Linked DNA regions of Bombyx mori. The protein of the gene in region 2 interacts with the protein of the main gene of each other region in a pairwise test. Links are inferred from orthologs where the notes say so. Each region holds a gene or a part of one and is shown on either strand. Other genes may lie near its edges.

Evidence for each region.
Region 1: the proteins of RAB6-interacting golgin (region 2) and RING finger and CHY zinc finger domain-containing protein 1 interact in a two-hybrid assay, tested with the Homo sapiens proteins (3 studies listed by BioGRID and IntAct). The link is inferred for Bombyx mori from reciprocal best matches to the Homo sapiens genes GORAB and RCHY1.
Region 3: the proteins of RAB6-interacting golgin (region 2) and N-terminal kinase-like protein interact in a two-hybrid assay, tested with the Homo sapiens proteins (2 studies listed by BioGRID and IntAct). The link is inferred for Bombyx mori from reciprocal best matches to the Homo sapiens genes GORAB and SCYL1.

The regions. Positions count from the first base shown.
Region 1 is NC_085125.1:12,752,521-12,757,374, forward strand, and holds the start of RING finger and CHY zinc finger domain-containing protein 1, read left to right. Parts: upstream 1-1,399; 5' UTR 1,400-1,531; intron 1,532-1,537; exon of another isoform or gene 1,538-1,708; intron 1,709-1,823; 5' UTR 1,824-1,831; coding exon 1,832-1,942; intron 1,943-2,477; coding exon 2,478-2,639; intron 2,640-4,222; coding exon 4,223-4,381; intron 4,382-4,854. UniProt on the Homo sapiens protein: E3 ubiquitin-protein ligase that mediates ubiquitination of target proteins, including p53/TP53, TP73, HDAC1 and CDKN1B. Mediates ubiquitination and degradation of p53/TP53; preferentially acts on tetrameric p53/TP53.
Region 2 is NC_085117.1:15,787,524-15,792,891, forward strand, and holds the start of RAB6-interacting golgin, read right to left. Parts: upstream 3,420-5,368; 5' UTR 3,217-3,419; coding exon 3,138-3,216; intron 2,626-3,137; coding exon 2,172-2,625; intron 1,042-2,171; coding exon 901-1,041; intron 787-900; coding exon 504-786; 3' UTR 1-503. Other genes in the region: small nuclear ribonucleoprotein protein F, read left to right, coding at 4,773-4,947.
Region 3 is NC_085131.1:8,312,314-8,316,918, reverse strand, and holds the start of N-terminal kinase-like protein, read right to left. Parts: upstream 3,456-4,605; 5' UTR 3,214-3,455; coding exon 2,836-3,213; intron 2,530-2,835; coding exon 2,300-2,529; intron 2,025-2,299; coding exon 1,848-2,024; intron 1,604-1,847; coding exon 1,375-1,603; intron 910-1,374; coding exon 766-909; intron 494-765; coding exon 312-493; intron 1-311. UniProt on the Homo sapiens protein: Regulates COPI-mediated retrograde protein traffic at the interface between the Golgi apparatus and the endoplasmic reticulum. Involved in the maintenance of the Golgi apparatus morphology.

The sequences.
Region 1 (4,854 bases), on a different chromosome or scaffold from region 2:
AGCGTAGCCTATACAGCCTAGTCTGTCGAAGTTATATATTTTTTATGTCAATAAAAAGCCGGTGTATCTCTTTTTATTGCTTTTTGGGAGTTTTGACGTCAACTCGACGAATACCACATTGACTGAGCATGAGTTTACGCAGACCTTTTATACACAATATTACAAATACAAATTACACAATAAACTATTAAAAAAACATTAAAATAAAAATTCAAGTGACGCTTCACTCGGGTTGCTGCCAAAACTCTCTGATCATATATATGTAATAAGAATAGAGTAATGGTAGGCCATTGATATTTTTAGTAATGGAATCATTAATATCTAAAAATATTAAATAATTCATGGTTTTAAGTAATACATTTTATTCAATAATTCAATATTTATATTACAATATATAAATATTGAATTGAACAAAAATAAACTAAGAAGCCTGTGAATTATAAGCATTAGCTATTTTTTTTTAATTTGTTGTTCAAGTCACAAACAACTCTTTCGTTTGACAGCATATAGGTTTGCTATAAGGCTGTATGGGCTAAGCCCTTTGCCTATTGGCGAATTTAAAGACTATGGCATGGATAGTTTTGGGATGTTATCAAATAAGTAATTTATTTTTTTGGAAAACAATGCCAGGTAGAAAGAAATGTTGATACATAAACTAAACAACGTGAAAAAATAAGGCATAGTTTTTCAAGTACAAATAGTTTTGACATAAAGTTGGCCCACTTTTGGGCATTGTCCTTTACTAATGCAAGGGTACCGCAAGCCCGTCCAGGCTGGAACCTATACTATTTCTTTTTTATTGCTTAGATGGGTGGACGAGCTCACAGTCCACCTGGTGTTAAGTAATTACTGGAGCCCATGGACATCTACGACGTAAATGCGCCACCCACCTTGAGATATAAGTTCTAAGATCTCAGTATAGTTACAACGGCTGCCCCACCCTTCCAACCGAAACGCATTACTAAACCATTTTTTTTATGAATGAGGGATTACTTGCGGCCCAGAGACAGAGGCCTTTCCAGTTACACCAGGACAGGTGGGCAAACTAAAATCACTGGAGATTGGTGACATGTGATTTGAGATGATACCGTCATCTCATTCATACCGAAGCAAAGCTCAATGTAGGGCCTTTTCAGTAATCATTTCTGCCTTGGACCACCCGGCTCTGGAATGAAGTCCCCATGCGAATGAGTAGCAAAGTTTCACTTTTAAAATAACTTATAATTTTAATTAAACTACGCGGACGTACAGATTAGCGCATTTGGCTTATACCACTCATTCCTGTAGGTATTTTTTAAACCACATATTCCATTGAGATTGTTTTGATTCATATCATCGTAGCCCATGATACAATCTCAAATGAATACATAAACGTACCGATTATAAGTAGATTTTTTGCATTTGAAGATAAAAGAACAAAGCACTGACAGCAGCTAATGACACAAATTAACAACGTCACCACAGTGAAATGTCAAGTTGGCATTTGGCAGTAACCTGACTGTTTACGATTCCGAAAAGCAGTACCTAAGGAGTGAGTCAGTCATATTTGATATTTGTAACATACCTACCTTTTTAGTAGCTCTTTCGCTCTTAATTCGTTTGAAATACGGTTGTTTCACCGTAAAACATTAAAAAACTTATTTTCCTCCTGGAACGTGCATATTAACAACCTAAATGTCACGACAATCATGACAACATCGATACCAATGACCAAACCTAAGTGATATTTAGGATCTCATTCAATGAAATTATTGCAAGAATCAATAGTGTATAACGTGTGTAGACCTTGAGCTTTTATTAAAGGTAATTGGTTTGTATTCCAGACTACATAATGTCGAAGGAAAAGTCAGAAAGTGTAAACGGCGATAGTTCCACAGTTGCTGAACAAAACGGTGAAAAACGCATAGGCTGTGCTCATTACAAACGGCGAGCGAAGTTTGTGGTGAGTTTGTATATTAATTGCGATGTATAAATTCATATACTACACACATATTTCAGCTAGAACACCTCGGGGTACAAAAGACGCGTTCTAGATTCTAATTATAAATGTCACGTAGGAATCTCGAGATGGTGAAATGCGAAAATACGAAAACAAAGTGAAGTCAACGAACCTCCGATTTTGGCCGTGATCCTTATTCTAAATAAAAAAAATGTACAGAAAACAAAAGCATTAGACGAAGCATTGATTTAATTCTTTCTAGTCATGTTCATGTATATGTCCAATAATTACGCGCTTTAAAAATGATTTGTCTGTTGATGTAAATGAAAAGAACACTATATATTGGACTAAGCTTATTGTATTATCAAAATATGCATTCAGATTGGCTTAACCACTTTAGAAACAGGCAATAATGCTTACCATTTCACTACATTACAAAATATATCTTTTGAGGTTGAAATATAAACAAATAAATATTCTTACACATCACCAAAACCAATAACAAAGAACTAATAATAAAAACAAATCTGCTTTCTAGACTCCATGCTGTAACAAAGTGTACATCTGCCGTTACTGTCATGATGAAAACGAACAACACTATTTCAATAGGAAGACTGTTACAGAGCTGATATGCACCGAGTGCGACACAAGACAAAAGGTGCAGCCAGAATGCCAGAACTGTGGAGTTAGGTTTGGAAAGGTAATGTTGCTTTAAACTCGTGAGATGTAACAGTGATATTAAGAAGTTGTTAATAGGATGCCAAACATATTTGAGTAACTAGACGATGACCAAGCTTTGCTCAGTTTTTTTTTTATAACGCCATCTTGTTGTGTCTTTAAAGCGGTTAGTTGCCCTCAATTAAGAAAAATAATATTATTCGCCAATAGATTATTGAAAACACGAATAAAACAACATTTTCTGAAAATAAATCGTAGCTATATCGATTTATCGCCCCTGAAATCCCCTGTATACTAAATTTTATGAAAATCGTTGGAGCCGTTTCAGAGATTCAGATTATATATATATTAATATACAAGAATTGCTCGTTTAAAGGTATAAGATATGTAAATGTACCAAAATGTAATAATATGTCATTTAAGCCTGTAGTACCCTATAAACACGATTGCTTGGCCACTAGAGCAAGTACAGAACTGAAGCTTGAACAAATATTGTTCATGCATATGTTACTGAACCTATCAATACATTCTAAAGCAGGATACAGCTTAAATTCATTCAACAACATTTTGTCAAATTGTCACTAGGAAGCACTAGAAAGCTGTCAAGGTAGAGGGGGAAGAGTTTGACTGAAGAAGACATGGATGGGAGAACTATAGACTACTTAACATAATAGTAGTAGGACATATTTTAAACTCAAATAAAAAGTTACCACTATCACTATCTGGTGTTAAGAATTCATGCACTTCAGTTTAAAGGATTGGACAGACCTTATAGAATTCAAATGTGACCTCATGTTTCATCTGATGTCTATGGGCTCCTTCAACCAATTAACACCACTTAAGTTATAATAAAGCACCCCGTCTACCAAGATTTTATTTTTAAAACCTGCTGTCTATCAGGTATAAGATCTACGTAAAATTAGCATATAGTTGAGCAGGAAATGGAGATTCATTTCTATTAATATATAAAATCAAACATATTTCATGTTTGTGTAAAGACAAAAAAAGCAATACCCCTATTGAAATTAGAATTCAATGTCCTGTTTGCAGTGGAGAATCAATAACTTGTAGTTTACCCGACGTACATCACACATTAAACAAATAATGTCATAAATAAATCGAGTTAACTGTAAGACCTTGGCAAGTACATAAAACGTCTGTAGATAGTGAAGATGTTAATTAAAACACACTTACTTTATTTATTTTGATAACATCATGTAACAAATGCTTTTTTTGTTTACAGACAGTGAATTATTTTTCTTTAAACAATGTTTTTTATTGCTCGTGTAGGTAAACGAGCGTACCGCCCACCTGATAGTGAGTGGTCATCGTTGCTCATGGGCGTCACCAATGCCAGGGGCAGAGCTAAGCAATTGCCTGCCCGTTTAATACTCTCCACAAGCCTCGTTTGAAGAAGGACATGTCATAGGGTTGGGGAACCAATAATATTTGAGCAATATCCTCAGTGGTAGACGGCAATTTATTATCCACTGGTTTTAGCACTTGGAATGACTGTGTCTTCAATGCATCCATAATATTCACTTAACTTCATTATTGAGTACTGGTAGGTGTACTGATTGCGCTACCAATGTCTTAATATTACAGTACACTTGTTTGATCTGCAACCTGTTTGATGATGAAGATAAGAAACAGTATCACTGCGACGGATGCGGCATATGTCGTGTAGGAGGCCGCGATAGGTTCTTCCATTGTGAACGCTGCAACATGTGCCTGCCTGTTCAGCTGCAAAGGGTCGGACATAGGGTGAGTCAATTGAAAACTAATCTGAGTGCAGTAATCCTCCAAAAATCCATTAACAGTGCTTTTAGGTCCCACAAGCACCAATCACCGCCCTCGCCGAACCCGTCTTGCGACGAAGGGCTCGACGAGCGAATTAACCCATAGACACAGCCCAGTGAGTTTCTCGCCGGATCTTCTCAGTGGGTCGCGTTTCCGATCTGGCGGTAGATTCTGCGAAGCACAGCTCTTGCAAGGGTCAGTGTCAGCAACACTCCAGTTTGAGCCCCATGACCTCACCTACATGTTAGCAAAGCTGAAATAACCTCTTAAGGCTATCAGTATAGGTAAGAAAAAAAAAGCAGTAGTCCCTAAAGTATTTGTCTGATATTCATTCTGATGTAATGACAGGATTGTCAAAACAAAATTTAGATGTTTAAAATTGGCTGTCTCTCTATAGCAAGGACTCCCAAACTTATTTTGTCTACTGCCCACTTTGA
Region 2 (5,368 bases):
AAAAATGTTAAGGAATCATGGCTTGATACAAAATAACTTTACTAGATTATGTAAGTCTATGGTTACATTAGATAGTACACTAGGTCCACTTTGCGTAGTTGGCAGTTGAACGAAAGTGACAATGATCAAAGATTAGATATACCTCAACCTCCTATGATTTCATAGCCAAATATCGAGTTTCATGCATGCAGTTCACAAATCTTAGGAAGACCTACTTTATAAAAAAGATTAACTTAAAAGAGAGAACCAAAAACGTCATACTATTGACACAAGTGTCCTTAACAATTAAATTTATGGTAATATGATAAGTGTAAAACAAGAACAATTACCAGAATACTACAATCGGGAGCCTCTATTGAAACTGACTGGCTCTAAATTCATTTTTATTTTCAATGAGTTTTAAATTAATTGACATCTCAGTAAATCTTTATTTTTGAATTTTTAATTTCTCTGTTACCCAAACTAATTATGTTTGGTAATGAATTATTGATTTCATAATTATGCTATGATTTATTGGTATTAATTTCGACCATCTTACCTGTCCTCTCATCAACACCATCGATTATAACTGGATTATCGTCATTGAGGGTTAATGCTTCATTAATTTCATTTTTCTTTTCATTAGCAAGTTCGAGCATGAGCGTTTCAAGTTTCTGAGCCTTCCTCATTTCGTTGTGTGTTATTAAGGCGCATAAATGTTCTGTGAGCAGCTCTTTTTTTTCCTTTTCTTTTTGCAGCAGAATCTTCGCATTAAGAAATTCTTTTTCAACTCGTAAGTATTGTTTCCTGAAATATATTTAAACAGAATTAATTGATTATTGCATGTAGGTCGTAAAAATATAATATTAAAGAAGATTTTTATTAATTGACCCTTCTGGAAATAAAAAAATCAATACTAACTCAGCATCAGCATAACTTAAGCAGGCTTGATCTATTTTCTTCCTCAATACTGACACATCCTGTGAAAATTGACTGTCCAATACTTGTAGTTCTTTCTTGATTTTCTCAAGTTTCATTACTTCTTCTTCTGTCTGTTTCGTCCTAAAATTTTAATTTGATACCTGTGTAAATTGTTTTGTCTTTCTTTTCAATACACCTACTGGAATAATTTTTTGTGTTACTCTTGTGAAAGATATACTCTGCAGTAGTTTGTAATTAAGCAGACTACTCTGTGCTAGTAAAACAATACACCTTGATTTACTTGTAGAATGTTCTTTAGGTCAAGATAAAAACTAGCTTTCTGCCTCCATATAGAGGTGGTAGGCAGGGCATGTCAGAGTGGAACTGACTAAAACCGTTTATTACTGAACAGCCCACATCTGAATAAGAATGCATACCTAAATCATAGAAAATGGCATAAGTATTATATACAGCAAAAAAAGTGTCTATGTAAGAAAATAATAACAATAAAATGATAAACATTAAAATATGTAAACATTAGTATCATTAATAAATAAATATTAAAATATATTAACTTATATGATTCATAGTTTAAATGATTAACATTGATGTGTACTTTTTTTTAAATGACATTATTCAACAAATATATTATTATATTACATTTTTAAAACACTAATATTTCATTGCAAAAAGCAAACATTTATAAAAACATTTATGTTTCATCATTTCAACATTTATGTAAACTTTATCAACTTCAACGTAATTTTTCCCTTATCACTGCATGTGTTTGTAACATAATTCTAAATTGAAATCACAACTTCACATTATAACACTGTTGGCAATGTACATGACACATACCATATTGTTTTAGTGATGAGCTGGAAAAACTTTTTGTTCACCATTTTTTTAAGACATTTCGAAAATAATGTTTTTTTTAAATTAAATAAATTTAGCAGTTTAAAATGTATATGCACTGTACACATCTGTTTAGCAATTATCTTGTTTTGTATCTCAACACTGATAATGGATCTCTCAGTTCTGATAACTGATAACTAGGTGACATTCAGACAGATTTCTGATTGCATTGAATTGACACAACCATAAGTATTATAGTGCTCAATTTTAAAAAAGAATTTCTCAGTAAATTTTTATTAGTTTTAAAAATGCAAGTGTGCCCAAAAATTAAGTTAAATTAAAATTAAAAAAGTATTTGTTAACCATAATTATTCATAAATAATACTAATTTAAATTAATTAATTCATCAATCGAACCTGTCAGCTAAAGCTTTTGCAATCATTTCCTTTCTTTTCTTATTCTGTTCTTCCATAATCTTCTGTTTGAGTTGCAATTCTCCTAACTTCACTTTGTGAGAGGCCAGTTCATGTTCTGTATATTGAAAATCAACACCTCTCACTATGTCCGGAGCAGTACTACTCCTTCTACTACTTGTCATATCACTCTTGTCTGCTTCGATAGTATCTACTTGTACTTCATCATTTCCCTCTACATTATTTTGCAAAATAACTTGATTTTGTTTGTCCTCCTCCATTTTAGCATTTTTGGAGGGTGACGTTGGTGTTTTTAAACTAAGCTTACATTTATCAAAATCTATGCTGTCTATTCCATCGTCTGAATCCTGTTTTTGATTAATGGCTGTCTTATATTCATATGGCTTGGTTTTCATTGATAATTTAACTCGTTTTATATTAGAATTTTTTATGTACTCTGTAATTAAAATGGTAGTTGTTATTAAATGTAGACTGTCTCATAGGCAGTAAAAATTGTTGCATTACACACACCATTAATAATAAGGTTGTGCAAGGCACTGATATAGGCCAATCCAATTGGTGGATTATATGTTACTGAAGTAGAAATTATAGATATCTAGTAGATACGACTATGCTTCACTGACATTTGTAATAAAGAAGCAAATTTGTGATCAATTTTACTTTTTTTTTACTTTAATTTTGCTTGCACAATTTGGCTTCAGTGACTTTTATCATTTATATTTTTTCTTGAAACTCTTAGAATCATTTGGCAATCATTATTATTTAGAATATAGCTAATTTTCTTGAAGAAGCTTTGATTTATACCCAAAAATCGTTCTTAGATCTACTTATATATGTTGAGATATTAATATTTCAAATTCTAATCGCATGCGCTACTATTTAAAACTCTGAATAAGCGTTCAGTTATTGATATGCTTAAAAAAAGTATATTTCAAGCTCCATACGTACTGTTTTTACTCTCATCGGCAGTTTCGCCAGATTTAATTCTTTCCAAGTCATCTTCACTAAAACCTGTAAATTGTGACATGTTTTATTTGTTTTTACATAGATATGTCAGGGTTATGTTTTTCATATAAGGTGCATTAATGTAAAAAATTGCAAAACTCATAGATAGATCGTAAACGTAAAAATCTATATTTTCATTGATTCAACACTGATTCACATCAAATTTTTACTATTCTGCAACACTACTTTGACATTGACTATTTGACGTTATTGGAACTTTTTTAATCACGTTAGATTGAATTCTGGTCTTTTAAGCCAAAAACCCATTGAAATAGTGTTTCGCCCATTTAATTATTCGAATCCATTTAACATTTATTTTAACAATATGTACATTTTGTCTTTAAAATGGTTTGGTGTTATAGCTCTACTCTCAGCATAAGCACTTCAACACACAATGTTGAAGTTCTCGTTTTCTATTCCCAAAATAGTTTTATAAAAAAACCGACTCTACTTTCAATTATTTGATGGTTTTTAGTTAGGCCAAAGATCGTTCATACCATCTTTAATTAAACAAACTTATCTAAATGTTTTTATTGCTAATATATAGTTTTATGGAAGCTTTTCACATATTTTTTCTTCTCTTCACATTTTATCAATAGCGAATTCCTCCAAATACGTTGAGAACTTTCAGCTTAGGTGTGTCGTTTTAGTCGCTACAAGCCCTTCTCTATTAGTTAAACATATTTGAAAGTGTAAAAGATTGTGGAAATATAACAAAATCACTGGACCTGACTTCTCAGGACTTTATGTTTATATAAATTAAAGAAAATAATTACCATTTTCTGTAGTTTTTTTTTCAACTGGGCTTCAATAATAATAAGATGAAATACATACTATTATTAATTTTTTACTACATTTTTTTAAAGGGATTTTATGACCTGGACTAACTAAAACTTTTAGGTCAAGTCTTATTTTAATTTTATGTTACGTAACTTTTTTATATGAAAATTATAGAAATGAAATGAAGTTGAATAATATGAAACATGGCATGAAGTGAAATGAAAACGAAATGAAATGAAATGAGATGAGATGATATGGGATGAAGTATAATCTCAGTAAAATGGTGATCATTTACTGAGACTTTTTCAGTGGACTTTTTGGAAGATCTCGAGAACTTACGTTCAGTGGCTTTGTTTCGTTTTCCCACATTTGTGCACTTTCACAGTTACAGTTAAGCAGTTAATAAGCCACCGTTATTACACATTTAAACCTGAAGAAAGACTAATTAGACAAAATAAAACAAACCACTCCTCGCGTTCCCGCCGAAAAGTCCTAGAAAGAACTAATTATAATAAATTTTAAACTACCTGTGTTTTATCTATGGTGGTGTATTATCTATGAGTAGCTGATGGCCGTGTTGCAAATTCAATGCTTTCATAAATAAAAAATAAAAAAATATCTATGAGTAGAAATTAGCGTCGAACTCGAAGCGAAGCCGATACATTTTGAGGTTATATTTTGTATTTCTTGTTAGCCGATATTAAAGTAAGTACTGATGTTTCTTAAATAAGCAATGAAAACAATAAAGGTGGTTTGAAAATGAATTAACATCCAATTTACTTTTTAGAACCTGCAAAAATGGCGGCTGCTATGCCAATAAATCCCAAACCATTTCTTAATAGTCTAACGGGTAAATCCGTGCTAGTTAAATTAAAATGGGGTCATGAATACAAAGGTTTGTTAGTATCAACAGATGGCTACATGAATTTGCAACTTGCTAATACTGAAGAACTTGTCGATGGAACTTGTACAGGTTAGTATTTAAGTGAACAACTTTAAGTAATCACGAAAACATATTAAAGCAAGAGATTAAGATCTACTGGTAGTGGACCTGGACCAAAATTGAATTAAAAATGAGACGTTCATTGTTTGTTTGGTCTATTATGAGTACACTATTCTGCACCCATTTCGACTTCAAAGCTTTCAAGCATTCTGCTTTGAAGAGTAGATTTAATATTCATATTGTAATAAACTTATAAATTCTAGAAGCCACTTAACACTAAATGTCATGGGGTTCATTTGCCCTTTTAAAGAAAAAAAAAGTACTTGCTACAAAGAATGCACAAAATCAATAAATTTCATAACAAGAGACAACTTGACACTTACAAGATTCCAAACCAAACTTTTTGGTTGTGAATAGTTTTGTGAATTTAATTAATTTAAATTAGTAAATA
Region 3 (4,605 bases), on a different chromosome or scaffold from region 2:
CTTCATAGTAAACTATAACATATTGATTAATGTCAAATTGATTACTTTCAATTGACGACGATTAAGCGGTCAGCGATTTTATTGGACTAACAATAATGAGTTGACGAATCAGGACAACTCATATTTCGGACTCATTAATATCGACATGCAGATCTAAATTTTTATATTGACTTTTGGCGTTTCCGCATAAATATTCTATATATTCTAGACTTACTTTTCTAATTCTATATAATATTCTAGACTATTTCATAGTCTGACGAAATATTAGAATCCGCAATATTTTGTAAAATTAATTGCATTTTATTTCTCACCTTATTCCTCCTTGATCATCTTTAGACTGTAATCTGGCAAAGTGCCGCAATACTTCAACGTTCAGATTGTTGTAATTTAGTTTAGAAGCGAGATGAACAATCGATTTCACAGTTTGTTCCCTAATAATAGCATTTGTGTCCAAGAAGCCATTTACAACTTGCGGGAAAATTTGGTCATTAACCTAAATAAATAAACATAGATTAGTACACTCAGGCCTCTCTTATACAGTCAATGATAAGGCGCTCTATTGTGGCGCTTTATTAAATAAAACATAATTAATTAACGTAGACCTATGGAGCATAAAACCTGTTCACAAGTTACATGCTCCATGATTAAAAAAAAAAAAACCTAGGAATAGCTAAGGTAATAGATTGTTTTCATTGATTTTATCAGTTAAGTACTGTATAATATTGCTTTAGGGGTTTACAAGAATTCTAAACTTTTTTAACTTACTGTCGAATTCTGCAGATGCATAATGAACTGGTCTAGTTGTTGCAGAAGCCTTGATCTTGTCGTTCTGTCATTAGAGGCGAATAGTTTAACAACACAGGGCACTATTTGTTTTTGGTAATCGGGATCTTCTAATAATTTGCCTAGCTGTAAACATATTAGGAGTGAATATATATTGAAATTATTATAAGCGAAAAACATTTCTTCATTAGTGAAAAAGTAGCCAGTAGTTGATATAGTAATATGATTTACATGAATTTGCTAATTTGGGAAATTCAAATATATTACGATATGTATGTATTCAAATATGTTCCTTTTTAGGTTGAGGTTTGCATATGTATATTCTGTTGAGATAAAGTCTAAATATGTTACAGTAATCTGTTATTTAAAAGGTGGATATTAATTAATATTTCATAATTACCAAAACTACAGTACAACTACATAATATAACAATTATATTTTAATACAACAGTACATCTATTATTACTACAATCATAGTATATAATTATGAAACACAGCAGTTTCCAGAATTCAAACGTGAAGTAAATGTTAGAATTTCGGCTGCAGATAATACATTATTTTGAATTAAAAATACTATTGTATCTAACTAACCTTAAACATAGGTGCCAACACAGCAGAACCAGCGTCTCCATAATGAAAGGCAGTCAATAACTGCGGCAGGATCTTATGAACACATACATTTTCTGGGAAGTTATCTAAATGTGAACTAAGACTTGAGAAAAATTTTCCCTTCTCAGCTTTGTCTTTAATTTGAATTTCTTCTAAGAATAACATTGTATCTATCAGATCGTTTTTAAAATATCCACCAAGTTTACGACATCTAAAATGAAAAGTAAAATTTATAATTTTTGTTATTGATATATAAAGAAATCAATACAACTCAAATTCCTTAGCAGCATAAACCTGTTTTAGAGAGAATAAGTTTGTATTATAAAAAGCAAATTTTAATTAATTTTTACTTTGCTCTTGTGATTTGCAAGTCTCCTCTTTCTTTCTGAACATCATGTTACATATATGTATGTAAGTGCTTCATAAGAAAATCAGATATTATTTCAAACATTTACCTGGTAATAATATCAGCCGGGTTAGGTCTTGAAGCAGGGTTAGCACTGACCAGCTCACAGTACAGCGTACATAGCTGTTTTGGTATATTATCTACTGTTTTAAGAGCCGGTTGGTTTTTGAGCGGTCCATTAAATGCCTCCCATATGAGACATCCTAGTCCCCACATGTCTGATGAACTATTAAACAATACTTTAGTTTTTTATATGTTAAGAATGATGAAAAACCTAGACCATTAAGTGGTTCATAATTAAATTCCATAATCATATAATTACTATAAGTTTATTGTAAAAATACACCATGCCTCGATAAATGAATGACCAGATTTTTTTTACATAGTATGAAAATAAGTAACTTATGAATACAGTAATAAATGTAATATCATTGTAACAGAGATATTAATATCTTACTAATTAATTAAAATAGTAAATTAGTCATTCAAAATGAAACTTACCATTTAGTTGCACTTTTAAGTTTTACAGAGTCATTCTTCTCTGGTGGATCATATATTTCAAGGGCAGGTAATATCTTTATTGGTATGGGATTCGTAGTTTCATGTCCTTGGGTTGTTAGAAATTCAAATCCCCCTAGTTTCCATTCACCAGCCAATGTTACAAATACAGAATAGAGGCATACATTGTTATGTCTCATATTTCCATCATTATTTAAAAATGATAAAGCTCTCTGTAGACAATTTTTATAATTTAAATGAATAAAGAAAATGTCAATTTCCTCAATCAATTTTTCATATATTTCAGACTATATCAATTGTAATAAATTTGTAAACTTTAAATTAAATTTCTTTTGAACATAAAGATTTACTTGCACTCTTAGACTATTGGATGCATTATTTCTATCTTTTATTTTATAGCACTCGATATACATAAAAGTATAATTTAGAAAGCTTATTAGAAATGTGTGCAATATTTTTTTTTATCATTATACTTTATTAAATTAATAACGAATTTGAATACTTAAATCAATACTTACAGTTATTTGGAATACGCCCCAGGCAAGAAATAGGTCTTTTTGCTGACCCTCAAGCCTCATACATTCTAAATGAGTTGATAAAGGCTCTACATATTCAGTAGCTATATACAAAAATTTCTCAGTTTCACAGCTATCTAAATAATGTAAAAGGCTAGGGTGTCTCGTAGTCTTCAATCTTTTCAGAGAAGCTTTTGCTATGTCAAACAATGTCTCCGAATTCTTTTGAACGTCGAACAAAAATATTGATACTTCATCCTGAGTACCTCTTTTTTTCCCCTTGTGTAATGTCCAAACACTTCTGTCTTCCAGTTCTGGTACGGGTTCACCAACATCGTACGGAAAATCCTTTGTAGGATCTCGAGAGAAAAATGACCACATAATGCTTCAAATTAAATAAATAATTTACACTATATCAGTCTCCACTTGAACTCTTGAAGCATAATCACTAAGACTTTCAAGATATTTCATAATATTCTAAATAGGTTTTGAATACTAAAGCATAAAAAAACGCGTACAGTTTTCCAAAATAATAGATAAATAAAGTGAAATAAAATGATTGACCAACATAGATACATAGATTAAACACCTATTAGTATTAGCATGCGTAAGCATCTCATAATAGTCTATGAAATTAGCCCAGCATACTTTTTCTGTGCAAATATTAGGTGTACTATCTATGATATTTTTTTCATCATAATGCCGGCCACTGACATGCGCGCAAATATTCGTACATTGTACGAATGTTTGCGCGCATGTGAAGGGCCGTCAAACATTCATTCGCAAACCTAGCGGCTGTGCAAATGGATTCGCATACTCAATTTGCGAACCCGTTTGCGCTTCCTCCTACACTTGTTTACGAATGTCTCACGAATTTCTCCTCCTTTTTAATTCGTCAATAGAACATTGAAGAGAAAAAGAGTTTTTAATTCTTTCCCAGACATCATTAACAGCCATGCTGTTTTTATGGGATTTCTTTTGATGAAGATACGCTACACAGACGTTACGAACTATGAAAATGGCGTATAGTATACGTCCGTGACCTTCGCAATCGTCGGCGCAACTGGGCAAGCGAATATGTGGGAGACTACGCGAAGGTTCGAGGTTCGCGCGCTTTGATGTCTGTTAAAAAACCGACACAGCTTGGAAAACCACGAATGCAGCGAAATCTTTGCGTAATCATTCGCAAATGTCGTCCTACACTTGTGGGTTTGCGTATTCGTGCACATGTGAGTGACCGGTGTAACATGAAGTTCCACAGTGACGCAGATTACATTTTCATGAAAAAGATCTCCAGAAACAGAATTTTAAGAAAGACGAACGGTATTTTTGTTATTTCTTCGCACGAACGTGAGAAACTTTGTTATGTAACTTATTTACTGTTCTCATTTTAGTGTTTCTTGAGGTTTAAATATGTATGGTAGTTATTAACCTCTTAGTGTCTATGAAAGCGCATAAGTGTGCGAAAATGAAACAAAGTCACTGGACGTGGTTTTTTATATTACCCTTGTAGGTGTACGACTGTAGGGTCTTGTGAGTAGTTTTGGAAATAATTTGAAGCATGGGAAATAATTTAGACTATGTATATAGTTTTCATTACTGCTGAGCATAAAGATTGGTCTATGCAGACAAAGCCGCAGGTAGAAAACTAGTTTCTTAAAGGCATTACATAAATTACATTTAAACCAATAACAAGTAACTAAATTTCTTTTAGGAATATTCAAACAATTTTGAACTTTATCCTTTAATAAAAGTAAAAATAGGTATCATTTA